Linked DNA regions of Struthio camelus. The protein of the gene in region 1 binds, or shares a complex with, the protein of each later gene. Links are inferred from orthologs where the notes say so. Each region holds a gene or a part of one and is shown on either strand. Other genes may lie near its edges.

Evidence for each region.
Region 2: the proteins of POR (region 1) and HMOX1 are in contact, whole or in part, in a crystal structure (PDB 3WKT), measured with the Rattus norvegicus proteins. The link is inferred for Struthio camelus from reciprocal best matches to the Homo sapiens genes POR and HMOX1. Residues at the interface, in NP_113764.1 of Rattus norvegicus: Thr88, Thr177, Asp208, Asp209, Arg313, Arg514, Lys515, Gln517, Arg519, Leu520, Phe522, Lys523, His626, Lys665, Met667, Thr668, Lys669, Gly670, Tyr672; in NP_036712.1 of Rattus norvegicus: Asp12, Ser14, Glu15, Gln38, Ala75, Pro76, Glu81, Lys149, Ile150, Lys153, Ser171, Asp173, Asn174, Thr176, Lys177, Phe178, Lys179, Gln180, Leu181, Arg183, Ala184, Arg185, Asn187, Thr188.

What each region holds. Positions count from the first base shown.
Region 1 is NC_090957.1:14,661,956-14,669,707, reverse strand, and holds the start of POR (NADPH--cytochrome P450 reductase), read left to right. Parts: upstream 1-4,661; 5' UTR 4,662-4,852; coding exon 4,853-4,931; intron 4,932-5,096; coding exon 5,097-5,289; intron 5,290-7,752. UniProt on the Homo sapiens protein: This enzyme is required for electron transfer from NADP to cytochrome P450 in microsomes. It can also provide electron transfer to heme oxygenase and cytochrome B5.
Region 2 is NC_090942.1:59,832,992-59,840,651, reverse strand, and holds the start of HMOX1 (heme oxygenase 1), read left to right. Parts: upstream 1-4,555; 5' UTR 4,556-4,756; coding exon 4,757-4,788; intron 4,789-5,113; coding exon 5,114-5,234; intron 5,235-7,615; coding exon 7,616-7,660.

The DNA.
Region 1 (7,752 bases):
ATATATGCCTCACATTTCATCTGAAACTGATTGATTGCTTTTTCAGCAGATACTGTGTGCATAAACAAGGATCAGGAACTGGAACCATGATACAAAAAAAAAGTGAGGAAAATGCAGTGCTTGTCTTATCTTGATTGAAGGTACAACAAACACTGGGGATAAAGTAACTACTTGTGTTAGGGATTTTCCACTTCTGCCTCATACATTTTTTTTTCCTTTTTTAAAAACAAGCTAACTGGTTCTATAAAGGTCCTTCCAGAGACTGCAGGATTTCATAGCTAAATTCTAAATAAGAGTCAGGTTACCCTTCACTGGCAGTTGGAGAAGGATATGCAGTTGAAAATGAATTGCTTTGAAAGTCTGGAAAGTAATTGTTACAGCCAACTAGGTAAGATTGAGATGAATTGAGGAATAATCTTACCGTGCTAGCTGAAGTGAGTTAGAGAAGGAGTTTCTGGGTTATAACAACCTTTTAAAATTGATGTGTGGAATCTAATTCCACATACTTTGCATTTCTTTTGCTACATGTAAGCAAATCCTTTCTAAGGGAGGGGACATAGTGAAGGGAGAGAAAAAACAAAAACCTGTAACTAGGTTATAGGACTCTGATAACTGAATCATAATGTCCAGGACCAGATGGAGGCGATCATCCAAACTGAAGCAGTCTTGTGACTTTGATTCCATCTCTAGAGGATGACTGTTTCCTTCTGGGGTTAGAGGGCCGTGTGTGACCTTTATGCTGTGGAGATTTGTGAATGCAGAGTGGAGGCTTTGATTCCCCCTTGCTAAAACAAGGCTCTTTGGTCTGAGCGCTGGACTTATAAGCGTCTAGAAATGGCGCTCTTCCCTCTGGCGATGGGGTTGGGCATGCGAGCGGGTGGTCCAGCTGTTGCAGCAGCTGTAGGGTTCCCCTTGAAGCGCCAGGGGGTTGCAGTGCGGTGAAGGCCAGGAGATAGGGTGTCTTTCTTCCCCCCCCCCCCGTGTCTGTCCATGCTGCATTCCTGAAACGCTGCCTCCTGAGGATGCCTCCTGCCAAGGTACTGCTCTGTTCCTCAACTGCCTCGGAGAGCAAACTACCTCTGGGAGGTCTGAAAAAGCAAAACGCCTCACGTTTGCTGTCTGTCTCCTCTGCTGTGGGAGGCCAGAAGCTCTGCTCCTTTGGACGTGGCAATGAATTGCTGCTGGAGATGTCCTGGCCTTGCTGATTAGCCCATGAACTTGTTCTCTTGCAAGGGAAGTTGGCTAATATCCATAGCTGAGCTATCTGGAGCTAGGAGGTGAGTTGCTGTGAGGCCAGGCATAAGCAGCCTGCATGTTCCACCCCACAGCTGGCAGCTGCTTGTGAAGATGCCTAGCTTGAAACTCTCCTCCACATGCGGCTTGTTACAAGGAAGTGCTGTTGCGCTCTATGCAAGGAAGCTTTTCTAGGACTCGGCTGCTGCAAGTGCCGGATTTGGTGCTCAGAAGGAGGAGGTGGTGGGAAGGGGATTGAATTGAGTGCAGCTCCTGTCCAAAACCGGCTCAGGCTGGTTGCTATCAGCCTTGTTTGTTCAAGGCTTCCTCTGAGCAAAGGCTTATCATGGCCTTGTGCTGTCACCCGCACCATGAGTGTAATATTCATGTCTGAATTATGTAGGGTAGAATCTTGAGGCTGGTTGTAGATTAAACTGCTAAGGCAATCTCTCCTCTCTGTTTTGGATCTGCTGTTCTCTAAGACCTTCTCCTTGCTGCTCCATTGGATTCTCCGCTAAAAGGCAATGCTGACATCCTTATCCCAGAGCAGAAATTCTAGTGTGGCTTGTGCCACGAGAAAGGTACCGTCAAGGAGAGCTGATACAAGACTGGCACTATTACTTGAACCCAGCCTTCAGGATAAACTTCCTGGTGTTTGTCACTGCTTGGTTTGAGTGAAACTGGCCACCCTAGTGTATTTTGGGCAAAGGAAGAGACTTGGGCTGGCATTGAAAAAATACCCCTTGCAGTGTTGGAGATGTTTATCCAGACAGCCTGCTGCTTATGTTTGGGCCCTGCTTTCTCCACCTCCTCTTGCAAAAAAATTGGGGCTGTCCTGTGTATTATGCAGTAACCAAGGTTCCCTAGGGGAGACTTTAGTCAGCAGCACTCGGGTTGCTTGCTGTAAGACGAAGAGTAACTGAAGTGGTGAGCGAGACTGCAAGAACCAAAACTGTACTTGAAGATGGGCTGCCTGGAGGTCTGTGCCTGAAGTCTTCCTACAGATGAGATGGGGTGGCATCAAGGAGGGAGGAGAAGAGTGTTCCCTTGGTGTTAGTTGCTGACCAGCTCCTCAGTGATTTACTGAAACCAAATGCGGAGGAGGAGAGGGACTCTGCTGTGGGCTTTGCGTTATTGGCAATTAAGCTGTGTGGAGGCTTTACCAAACAGTTTAGTCTACAGCTGTGCAGAAATAATGCCCAGCTCTTGCTTGGCTCTGAGATCCAACAGCAGAAAGCCTGTCTGCAAGGAAGGGAGAACAGGGTGACCTGACTGTTGTACAAGGAAACGGGTATCTTGGTGTTCAGCAACAGCAAGGCGCTATCAGCAAGGCACCTTACTGTTAGTCATATCACTAACGCTGTCTTCCAAATTGTAACTGAGTGTCGTCTCTGGGAACTGAAACGGCAAATGAGGAGCTCTGTTGTGGTGGCATAGTGCCTTTCGTAGCACGGTTGCTTGCCAAGTTCTTTGCTGAATGAAACTTTGTGGGGCTGAGATCTGTCTGGGCTGCAGAAATACTCGAGAGCCCACCTGTGGCCGTTGCCAGATGGCTCTGGGTTTCTCCCTGTGCTCTGCAGAAGGGCTACCTTATACCTGGTGTTGGTAACCCAATAGCACAGTACTTAGGTTTTCAGGAGTTGAGCTTTTCCTTGGTAGGAGCAGCAGCAAGCAGATAACCTGGGCAAGAGAGAGGAATAAAACCACAGCTGCTGCATGAATTAATTTAGGAGAAAATGAGGAGCTGTAGTGAAGACCTAGATTTCAGCTGCACAAACTGCCATGAGCTGAGAGCTATTGAATATTACCTGATCTTGAATTCCACCTGGGCAAGATGCCCCACAGCAACTGCTGCCCTGGGTTGTGATGTTGCAAGTTAGGAATTCTTTGGCATGCCTGGTATTCTAAGCGGTCTGGGATCGGCTTCTCAGTGTTTGGCTCTGCAGTCCTGGTCCAGCCCCTGGCTCGCCTGGCAATGGGGGGCTCTGCTCTTGCGAACAGTGTGGCCTAAAGGAGAGTCTGTTCCTTCTGCTCTCTCCAAACCCTGAGCCAGAGGGAGGTCTGCGAGATGCTTCTGGAGGGCAGCTGCAGGAATTAACGTTCCTGGCTTGTCTGGATACTAAAAATCACAAGCTCAGAGGCAGTAACTTTACTGATGTTTTTCCTCTCCGTTTGCCCTCTCCTTCTGAGAGCTGGCTCTTCCCCTGCAGCCCATGTGGGCTTAAAGACCTTACTGAGTCTCTCTCGTTAGCACTCCCTTCTGCTCTGTAAGCATCGCCTTCCCTTTTCTTCCAGATTCCTGAATGCATTAACATGATCTTAAACTTCAAGAAGTTTTTCTAAGCCCAGGCATAGCTTGAAGTTTGCTTTTCTTTGAGCCCCCATCGGAAAGCTGTCCAGAAGCTTTTCTCTGGCCAGCACCAGTGTGCTGAACACGTTAGCTCCCCTCTTGCTGCTCTGCTACATGGTATGTCCTTCTTCTAGAATAGCACTTCCACAGCTCTGAGTCATTTTTTTGTGTACGAGTTCAAATGTCCATGGTCTCCTGCTTTGGCCGGATGCCCAAGTACAAGGAAAGAGTCACTTTGCCCTTATGAATCAAGTTTTGAGTTAATTATCTGTTTGCTTGGACAGAGCATGTCCTTGCATGTTGTGAAGATAAACTTCTAATCTGGATTGTGGTCAGAAGAGTTCAGAGCTTTGGCAAAGGAGCTGAAAGGGAGGGAGCGATGGGTGGCTCCTGAGGGGAAGGGCAGGGTCACGGGGCTACTATATGACTTGAGAGGGCCAGGCGTGAGTCTTTGCTTTATCGCAGACGATGGGTATGGCCACGGGCAAATCATTTGAACTCTGCCTTGGTTTCCCCCTGATGAATTGCAGCTAAAGTGTTGCCCTGCCTTGTGGGGCTGCTGTGAAAGTATGTCTGAACAAACGACATCACTGGTTGGGTCTGTGCAGGGAACTTGTTTGACTGTGAGAGTGCTTAGTCCTTCCAGGCTGGTGTGCGTGAGTAAAAAATGAGAAACAACCTGGAAGCGCTTTCTGAGGTGACAGTTGCCATTTTGAGATCTACTCTTCAGGAGTTTATCTTCATGTCTCTTATGATGTGGAAGAAATGGAGAATGGGAGGCAATAGTGAACCAATTAAATTAAAAGTGAACTATGCACGTATACCAGCAAGGGGTATTCAAGGGGACAGAGGTTAAACTAGGGAAGGGTGTGGAAGGGGTGTGGTGGGGGGTAGGAGGCAATAGTAAATCGGATATATTTGCAGTTTGTTGTTGTGACAGCCTAATGTGGGGATACTCACCATGCCGCAGTGTGGGGGGTGCACAATCCTCCTCCGCAGCTTATGACCACAGCAGTAAGTGTGGGGTGCTGTATCGCCTCATAGACTGGAGAAGGAAAGCCACTGATCTGTGTGAGGAGCGGCAGGAAGAATGGCCTCTGCCCCTTCTAACGCCCTGAGGAATTCATGATGGGTCAGGGCCCTCTAAAAGCTCCCTTTGAGTCCTGCTGAGTTTCGCCAGAGGTGCGGGTAGAAGGTGGATCGGGCTCCCTGGTTGGAAGGAGGGGCTGTTCAGATGGTGCGAGCTAGGCAGAGCAGAAATCACTTCTGATGGATCAGCATGGATGCAATGGGACGGGAGAAGCTTGGTGGGACAGTGCGACACCTCAGGGCATGGAAGGATCTCGCAGTATGTGGTGAAAGTCCTTCTTGAAAATACTGGGAGCTGTTGGGCTCACTTGTGCTCCTAGGATAAACTTACAGCGTAAAGGGTCTGGTCTGAAGGTCCCTTAGTGCTCTTTTGAACTTCTGTGACTTTTTGTGACTGCTAGCATTCACTTACTTTTCTTTGCAGGTTCTCTGACCGTCATGGGGGATGCTGGCATGCAACCAACTGTTTCTGCTCCAGAGAGCCCTGCCCAGCAAGACCCTCTCTTCAGCATGACTGACGTGTTTCTCATCTCACTTATCACTGGGCTTTTTACTTACTGGTTCTTCTTCCGCAAGAAAAAGGAAGAAATCCCTGAGCTCCCCAAAATCCAATCAGTGTAAGTAACAGCTTTGAAGCAATGTGGAATGAGGGTGACTTTCAGTCTTGCTCATCTGACCACAAAGTTGCTCTTGCTTTTCCTGTGCTATTCAGGCTTCCTAGAGTGCTGGTACTGGCTCATTCCTCCCTGGGGCTGGGATCACAGGCTCCTGGGAGGAGGAGAGCTGGTTTCCATCTCTGAGTATTTAGATGGTACTTCTATAACTGGCCTTTCACTCTGCATCTGTGCACAATGCAGCACTTAACTCGTTAGTAGTTTTCTTGCCTTGCCATTCGAGAAATTACTTTAACCCTTCCCAAGAGATGGATGACACTTGCAGGTGCTGGTGTGAATTTAAAGACTTCCTCCTGCCTGAGACTTTGTGCTGCTGGTGGGTCCTTGGAGGCTCCAGGAAGAGAATCAGCCATGTGGGAGGGAGCTGTGCAGGGCCTGGGACGTAGGGGTGGCTTAGCTGGATGGTGTTCCATGTGCCAGGGAAGGTCACTGTGAGGTCTTGCTGCAGGATAATCTAGGGAAATCATTAACAGACGTAGTTAGATGACTGCGTCCTGTGATGTGGCTTTACTGGTGCCATCCAGCCTCGATTCTGTGAAGATCAGTGGTATTGGTGCTGTGCTTGCTTACCGGGTGGGGGGACTTAGTCCCAAAGTGCATTTCTCCCCCGTCGTGTTTCTTTTGAACTGCTTGTTTACCTTGCAATGCAGAAATCCCTGTGGAAGAGCTGGGCTGCAGTTCTACCTTACCTCACGCCTTGACTCAAATTATTAATTTGCCTTCCCCAAACAAGGCAAGCAAAGGCTCTAAAAGCCCCTGACTGTACTTCAAAATGCTTAGGGATTGCTTTGGCTGGTAAAAGTCGTGTTTAATAAACCTGGACAAAGGTAGATTTGCTGTTAAGCAGATTTCCCGTCTAGGAATCTTATCTACACTTAGCTATGAAGAGAAGAAATAATGCTTCGGGAGCCAGAAAGCAATTCCTGGGCATGAGCAGCTCTTGTGAAACATGCTCGACTTTGCCAGGTCTCTGTAGCAGCAAGAGGTTGGATTTGGTGATGGGAGAGGTCCGTGTTTCTACCCTGTCTTCTGCCAAGCAATTGGAGCCAGGAATGAGCAGCGCTGGCAGAGATTTAGGTGTGCTCAGTTCCTTGTCTCAGGCCCATACCGAATTTCACATCAGTTTTCTGCTGTGCTTTTTAGGAGCGTTCCTTGTATTTCCTACTGTAGCAATGTGCCTTGCATTGTTAAGAACACTAAACTGAGGTTTGAATCCCCCTTAAGCTGGAGGGGGAGCTGGCTTTGCGCGTTCTCTCTCCTGCCAGTATGCTGGGATCTGTTCCCTGTGCAGATGAAACTTCCCTCAGATAGAAGGCCATCCTGGTGCCTGACTCACAGCTACTTCAGCCTTAGCCCAGCTCCTCACGCTCACAGTATTAGGCCTTTACAGTAGTAACTGCATCCAAGGTGAATCCTCTGTATTTGTAACACAGAGTGCAAATTTGCTGTAGATCCCTGCTTGTCCTGAAGGTATTGGTGGTTTGGCCATGAAGTGTAGAGGGGAAACAAAGGGGAGAACTGATGGCTGGCTCCTCCCAATGTGTTCACGATTTTACATTCTGTTGCACCTGCAAGGCATCCTGCATGAAGTGGCTTTCTCCATGTGGCAGAGCAGTACCCACTAAGAAATGTCAAGAAGTACTTCTGCTCAGCCCTTCATTTCAAAGTGTTTACTCAAGAATGCAAGGGTTACAGCCCGGTGTGGAAAGAAGCTGTGGCAGGAAATGTTCGTAGACTGGTCAGATGAGGATACTTGGTCACGGGCCAAGGTATTTCAGCATGGGATCAATGCTTCTGTTACCCTGTGTGTAAAAGCAAGTTAAATCAAACACAGCAAGTTGTTGTGGGTCTGTTACCTGTTCTCAGACTTGTGTATCTACCTTAGTGCGTTAGGCTGCTTTCAGTTATCTGGGCTCGTCCTCTGATGTTGTGTCATTAGGTCATAATTGAGAAGGAGCAGATTTGGTCTCATCTTCTTTCTTACTGATCGTAACTCTCTCCTCTGACAACGGGACAGAGCCCTCTGTTCGAAGGCAAGACTGGGATTCCAGGTCTGTTGTGAAATCCCTGGATAAGGGGAAGAGTAGCACGCAGCTCAGTGCAAACAGCCTGCCGTGAAGCAGGCTGTGCACACTGGTATCGCGGGAGGACAGAAAGTACATTTTCTGGCTGGGGGCTGTTTAAAAGGAAGAAATGTCCCTGGCTGCAGTATCCTGTGGCAGAATTCCTGTGTCCAAGCTGACAGTAGCCTCGCTGTCCATCTGTTCTTCTCTGCCTTATCTGGGGAATTTGATTTGTTGAGTCAATCAAATACTCCCCCTTTTGTGCCTGCTGCTCATGCTGTACAGTGATGAGAGGTGAAGTTGGCTGGAGAAATAGCAGAGAGATTGGGTCGCAACCCAAGGC
Region 2 (7,660 bases), on another chromosome or scaffold:
AGAAGGTTCCCATGCAGTGTATGTGTTATTTTCAGATCCTTCTTTTCACAGTTTGGCCCCCATCTCAGTCAGGGTGCACTCTCCTTTCCACGTGGTAGTAGCCCTGACACGAAGGAAGCTGAAACATTTGCATCACTGAGATTTTAATTTGCTAGTTCTAGCTAAGGCTTGCTCTCTTCTACCCCTCCCTCTGCACCTCAGAAACATACAGGCCATAAGCAGGCAGTGGAGTCTGTCATCACCAGCACTGAGGCTCTGCTGGGCACTGGGTGCTCTCCTCCACCATTTCAGCACAGTGCACTGATACCCTGGAGACCTGCTACAGGTTGTGTTTGTGCTCAGGGAGTTGCCTGCTCCTTGGGTCTCCAGTTAAAAAGCAAGCACGTACCTGGCAGAGTGTTTGCTCTATTTTTCCTTCTCGTCACTGCTCTGTTCTCAGCCTGCCCAGCAAGCCCAGAGCTCCCATCATAGCCATCGTCATGTTCTGGAGACACCTACACGCTGTGGTAAGCATATATTTATAAATGTATAAAATATGTGTATTATAATCTGTGCTTCCTGTTTCTGTCAAGATGGTTCATTTATGTCTGAGAAATTTACTGGCACCTTTGTCTCCACTGCATCTGTCTTTGGGGTTCCCGTATGCTGGGCTTGCCCAGAATAGCAGTGCTGTCTGTAGGACTCTTCTCTTTCAGAAGTGCCAAATATACCAGCAATGCCAGTTCAGAGGAATCATACAGTGCATTCATTCCCTATGGAATTTTTCAGTGCATTGTACTCACAATCTCCATTTTTCCACCTATATCTTTGATCTAGACTTAGATTGTTAAATGTTGACAGGAACAAGCACAATTTGTTCTGCCAGTACTACTGGGCTGGGCAATCTTCCTTTGGTAAACATGAATTAACCATAGCATAACACTGTATGCCCTAGTGGTGACTCCCTTCTTAAGAAAGCAATTTTAAGCAGATATCACGTCGTCCCTTTTTTTTTTTTTCCACTCTTGCTACACAGCAAGTTCTGAGTATTGAGTCAGCTTTTTCCCTCAAAACCATGAGGCTGCATTTTGCTGTGTCATGGTCTGCCAGATCCCCTTTAACCCTTTCTTGCCGGAAAAGACTAGTTTTTACCAGGTTGTTTTCTCTTCTTAGCCAAGCCTCGGCTGTGTGCCAGTCCCAAAATGTGAGAGAGTGCTTCCCACACACGTTCAGAGGAGTTGATTTCATGTTCTGTGACTGACTATATAGCTAGAAATTTCTGAAACTTCTCTACCCCGATGAAATCACGACTCCCCACTAACTTTACGATGTTATTAACTGCTCATCTAATGAATCTCTTGACTTAAACTTTGGCTCAGTGGCCAGGATATGCAATCAGAGGTTTCTAAGCCCAGCAGGGACTGCTGCAAATATCTTGTCTTGGGCTACTTGATTCATGTTTACTAGAAGTCTCCTGGGCAATTTCACTTGTTTCCATGCACATCACCTTCACATTAAATAACTCTGGCACCACCCAACAGCTGCTTTGTGAAAGAACAGGAGAACGGTATTACGGAATTTCTGGCAGGCAGGTGGAGAGACCACAGATCTGAGACCTTGATGCTGTCCAAGCAAAATTTACTAGTGATCTGGATCTGGACTGGCATCTGCCTTTTGAGTGGGGCACACTGTACACCTGACTGAGTTGTTCTAGGGGCCAGTTGTTCTTTCTGCTAAAAATATGCTCCTCCTTTCCAGTGCATCGTTCTTAAACGTCAACTTCCCATGTCGTCTTCTAGGAAGAGATGGTCACTCACAAATCTCTGACAGAACTTTGCCACTTTCTGTGTCCTTAACCTTCCCTCCACCACATAGCAACAGCACAGCAGAAGCAATACAATTCCTCGCTGCAGAGCAGTGGACAAGGCCAAAAATGCCCCAGGCCAGTGACTACAAAGATGATGACAGCACATTTTCAGTTCCTCTTCCATCTTGGCTGCTGAGCCCTTGGGCCTTTCTGGGGAGCTGGGCCCAGTCTATAACAGCTGCTCCCTGCCCTTCCATCAAGTAACCCTGATCAGCTAGAGATCAGAAGGTATAACTAAGTTATGGGACACGGCTTGTTCCCCTGCACATGTGGAAAAAATTCATCTGGAGAGGTAAGGTGCAGGAGGGAGATTATCTCTTATGACTGGCCCTGGAGAAGGTAAAGCCCCAACAGCCACCAGGGAGGTATGTTGGGGAGCACCTAGAGCAAAAACCTGGATTCCAGAACAGTGTGGTTACAAACCAGAACGTTTCCCAGGAAGAAGTATCCTATCTGGAATAGCAGTAATATGACTAAACAGCTCTCTCTCCTCCTCAGTCCATTTGCCTCATCCACATCTTGGCTACCTCAACCATGGATGAAAGGGAAGGAGGAGGAAGATGTCTTGGACAGATCTTTTAAAGCATCTCCAAGCATGCAACCTCTCGGGAGAAGGAAGGCTGGCAGGGCACAAAAGCACAGATCTGAGAGCAACTAGAAAACCTTTGCAAAGGAACTGGGCTCATTAACAGCTGCTGAACAGACATGAAGGGAGGGGCAGGGTTTGGGCTTGGGGTTTTCTGATCTCGACCAAGTATACCTCCCTCTACTGAAACTACAAGTTCAATTTGTGCTCCAGCTTCCCCTGTCAGATCAGGACTCACTGAAAAGAACTGAAAACTGCTTGTGAGCTTTAAGAGAGCAATGCAAGAGAGAAATGCTCATTTCAAGGACATCCCTGTGGCAAGATGGCATCAATGTCTGCAGGACAGAACGGCCATGCAGCCCTGCACTCCTGGGGGCTCCTGTGCAGAGCCCTCTGTCAGAGGGTGTTTGGGGCTTTGTCACACCTTCTGAAGAGATTCAGACATCCCAATGTATTTATTTTACCATACAGATAAAGCAAACAAGTCAGTAACAAGTTGTGTGCAATGGCATGGGGGAAGCGGGGAAAGCAAGCAACTTGTCACTTTTGCTAGCGTGTACTGTTGCTTTAAAGAAAGAATAAGACAGGAAAAGTCTGGCTGAGTCAGGGTGGAATTGCTGACTAATCCTTCCTGAGCTCCCCACACTGCAAACCAGATGTCTGCCTGAGTGAAAAAAACAAGCGTAGATGCACATTTCCTCCAGGACAGCTTTCTAACCTATGGCACCACAGCAAGCTACTGTTGGGGTAGCTGCAGTGACAGGGAGACAAGGCAGCTTGGGCTGCAGCGCCCATCAGCACAGTCTCAGATTGGACTCGCCAGGACAAAAGATACAGACAAAAGATAACTGTAGTTCTCCTCCCTCCTCCCCCTGCTTTGCCTCCCTACCACTTCATGCATGTAACACAGTGCTGTGTTACTGCAGCAGCGCTTTCTCACCTCTGCATTAGCAGGGGAATGCTGTTTTTAAGTGCCTTGGTATTTGGGTTGCACACAAAATTTGTGCTTTCTCAAAGCAGAGCTGGCTGATGCACCTTCAACCCTGGCTAGCCCTGCTTCCAGCACAGTTGGAAAACAAGGGCCCCACCATCCATTGGCTGCCTCATTAACCACTTCAACAGACAAAACAGTGGAGGAGCCAGCTACTGGCAGAACCAGCTTATCCAATTCTCTTTTCCCAAATCAGAGGAATTATTTGCATTTGAAAGTCTCTGCAGACTTCCCCAGAGTTTTCCCTAAATCCTACATCACATCTTTTCAGTCCTTCGTGCATACCGGCTACTGTAGTCTTCTGGGTATCTAAGAGATGGGGCGCTCTCCTTCCAAAATGCCCTGCACGCAGCTGTGACAACAGCAGGGGCCGTTTGCCATGCAAAGCAGCCGCTCTTGTTTCCATTCATAAGGGAGCAGAGGATGTCTCAGCGCATCGGTGCAGGCAAACCTGTGATGGCTCCACGCAAAGAGGAAGGATTTATTCACCAGGGTTCAGCTCTGTGCAGCTGTAGTTCTGCCACTTGCAGACTGGAGCTGGTGCGTGCCTATGCCACAGCACCCAGATTACTCACAACTGGTACAAAGCCCAGGGTCCCTGCTGTGCTCCTCACTGTGGAGCGGGCATGCTCCTAATCTGTAGGGCAGAGCTCCCCACCCCATGGCCAGTAAGCACTAGGTTACCTGAGGGGACTCTCTGACAATGTTCCTGGCCACAGGAAATTAAACATTTACACCTGAGTCTTGACAGAGACTAGGACAGATGCTGTATTAGCTCCCCAGGTGGGGTGCAGCTGGCACACAGATTGGGGGAAAAGGCTGTGGGGAGAGGAGTTGCCCACCCTGCCCCATCACATTTGACCATGGCACTAACCAGTAAATCCACCCCTCTACCCAACACCGCTGCCCCCAGCACAGTGACCACTGCTTGTAGCACCTGGGCTCTGCCTGCCATCGGCACTGTGCTGAAAGGGTTACCAAGCCAGGCAATCTTGAAAAAGAAGTTGTTCAACATCCTCTTATTTGTGCTTAGTTGTCAAGAGGAATCAGGTGACTTCCTTCTGCCGTCCAAGTCTGGTCCCTCAGGGCAGCAGGCAAGGAAAGGGTGACAGCAACGCTGGGAAGGGAAGCACAGTTGTGTTGCAAGAAGTTTGTACTCACACTGAGGTCAGCAGTTGGGCTGCTCACGTGACCTGGCCAGTATAAAGCTCGATGCAGGAGCCAGGCTGCCCAGCTCAAACGCTTCGCAGTGTCCTGGGAGCAGAAGGGAAGGAAGAAAGCAAGGGCAAGAAAAATCAACAGGGACACAGAGGAGAAAACGAAGTGGAGAAACATGGATACTTCCCAGACACACAGCTCTGAAAGGTGAGAGCAGGACTGGAATGAGAGGGAAATTTCCAGCCAAGAGAGTATCATATTTTTCCCCTTGCTTTTAGGTGTACTGTTCCTGTTTCTGCTCTGCAGGGAACAGCATGCTCTTTCTTTCCCCTCTGGATGGAGCCTAACAGTTTTACTTCCCCTTGGACAGCGTGTGAGATACTAGCGCTCCCTTGATCCCATCCGTGGCTCTCGGGAGTGCTCTGCTTCTTTCCCTGCCTTCCCAGGCTTCCCTCTTTTTGCTAGAGAGCTAAGATCCATTTTGCAGGAGGAAAGTGACAGCACCAATATCTCTTTTGCTTCTTTTCCCCAGCATGTCACGGGACCTGTCAGAACTCATGAAGGAAGCCACCAAGGAGGTGCACGAGCAGGCAGAGAATACACTCTTCATGAAAAATTTCCAGAAGGGGCAGGTGTCACTCCATGAATTTAAGGTACTTGCAGTAGTATTGGGTGGGGATGGGATTTCCTTGTCATGGAATACACTTGTAGATCAGATAGGCTATGCGGGGACTAAAGGTTGAGGGGTGAAGGAAGCCCTTTGCATCACAGCAGTCTAGTATCAGCATCTCCTGTGCAAAACATGCTCTTAATCAAATTTTAGCACTCTTAAGACTTTACAGGCTCCTCCTTCAGAACGTGAGGCAGGATTGTATCTTTCTGGATAGGCAATCAAGCTGAAACAGGATAAAAAGGCAACGAGATTGTAATTGCTTTTATCTTTCCTTATAAATGCCTGCATGTTAATTATGGCCAATGAGAGTTAATGGAGATACAACTATGTGCAGGTGTATGAGTGATTAAAATGGCAACAAGAAAGGAGAATACTTTAGAATGCTTTAGGCGGTTACAGCTAGAAATAATGATGGAATAATGAGAAATGTGGGATCATTTTTGGCACTGAACCTTGCAGAGTTGTAGTTATCACTTGAGTTATACCAGAGCTGCGATCAGGAGCAATTACTCGAGGCAGAGTAAGTTTGAGCAAGCCATGTCTGTTCATGTAGGAGCCTGTTGCTTTTCTTAAGATATAACAGAATCATTTGCGGTTACGGAGTCTGTGTCTAATCTGGCTAGTTAATGTGACCTGAGCCACGTAACAAAGCCATGTGTAAAAACAAGGCAGGCATATGAGCTAGAAATTCCTGGGAGGTTAGAGGATGTGACACAGGGGTTCCAAATAACAGCTAGTAAGCTGAGCTGTGGCTTAATGACTTTATTTTTGAATTGCTCCTTGATAAATACATCCATAGGAGTAGGGAAAAAGAGTACTTATTTCTGATAGTTCACATTCATGACACGCAGTCAAGCATACTGTTAATCTCAGGTGCTGACCTCCTCCTGTTAGAAATGTGGCATTTGTTAGGCAATGAACTTTGAGACAGGCTAGCGATAACCTAAAAAGTCAAGCCTCTAAGATCCTGGAATACAGCTTAGTTTCTTAGAAAATTCTTAGTTTCTTAGAAGTTTCTTAGGCTTCAGGAGGAACGAGATGTGATGCTGGATTTTAAAAAGTAAGATGATGATTTTCAAAAGCTACTTTTCTCAGTAAACTACTATCTCTGATAGCAATAGTCAGATTAAATCCTTTAATTTGTTAGGCAATATTCCTGTATTTTATTTCTTTTCCAGTAAACTAGATGACAAGTTATTGTTTAAAAGCTCCTTTTGTTTAACCTCTTGGCAAACCTATATATCTGCCCTGAAACATGACTCCATAAAATTTGAGTATCTGTTTCTGCAATCAAGTCACTGCCTGTCTGCATATCAAAGTCCTATTTGCTGACATAGTGGGGAAAAGTTGAAATGGCAACTCTTCTACTGCTAGAACTAATAGCTTTGTGGGAGAATAAACCACTTTTGCTCCTATCAGCAGTATAATTTCCCCCTCAAGCCTGACTCACCTGTGCTGCAGGGCCTTCACGTTTTACCCTTTGCTGCTGATGAGGGATTTCAGTGTAAGCAAGAGGTGGTGTACATATAAATACGTATATAGCTTTTAAGAGCAGAATGTCCAGCAAAGGAAAGAACACAGCTAGATTGTCTTATGCTATGTGGAAAGGCTGGCAGATATAAAAAAAGTATCGTGTAAGCTGGGAAAAACAACAATAACAACAGTCTGAAAATAGTAATGAACACACAGCCTCGCAGTGATCTTTCGCAAAGGCATCTTTCAGAGGCAAGCTGTGCTTTCAGTCCCCTTTGTATCTTATCTCCTTGGGGCAACCACAGGGAAACAAAGAGGCAACCCTACTTACAAATCTGAATGAAGAGAGCAGTGGTGCCTCAATTCCCAGGACGGTAGACTGCCAACAGGATAAATAGGCTGTACAGTAAACAGGGTGTGTCATTGTCTCATAAGGCCCCACAGAGGAAAGGCACATCTTGAAGCATTCAGATTTGAACAATACACCAGAAAATATACCTTTGGGAATAATCTCTCTATTGACTAGGGGGAATGAAGGGAATAGACTAGGTATGATTTAATAGGGCTCCATTTTCTATAATATCAAGCTGCCAGAACCTTAACTTGAAGGTGAAGACAGCAGCTTTTATGGACAGGTAAGACCAACATCTGTTGAGAATAACTTAGGTCTCAGCTGATGCTGCCTCAAGCAGAAGGGGAAGGGCTAGAGGATGTCTCACTGTCCCTTCCAACTCTGCTTTCCATATGTGAAATCTACAACAATATAACATATTTGCATGATTCATACTGGGTGTGCATATGAGTAACGTTTTTTGTTAGTGGGATTTGTCCCAAAAGCTGGAAGACAGACAGATGCACCTGTATCTCATACCCTCCCTTCTGTTTCAGCTGGTTACTGCCTCCCTGTATTTCATCTACTCTGCTCTGGAGGAA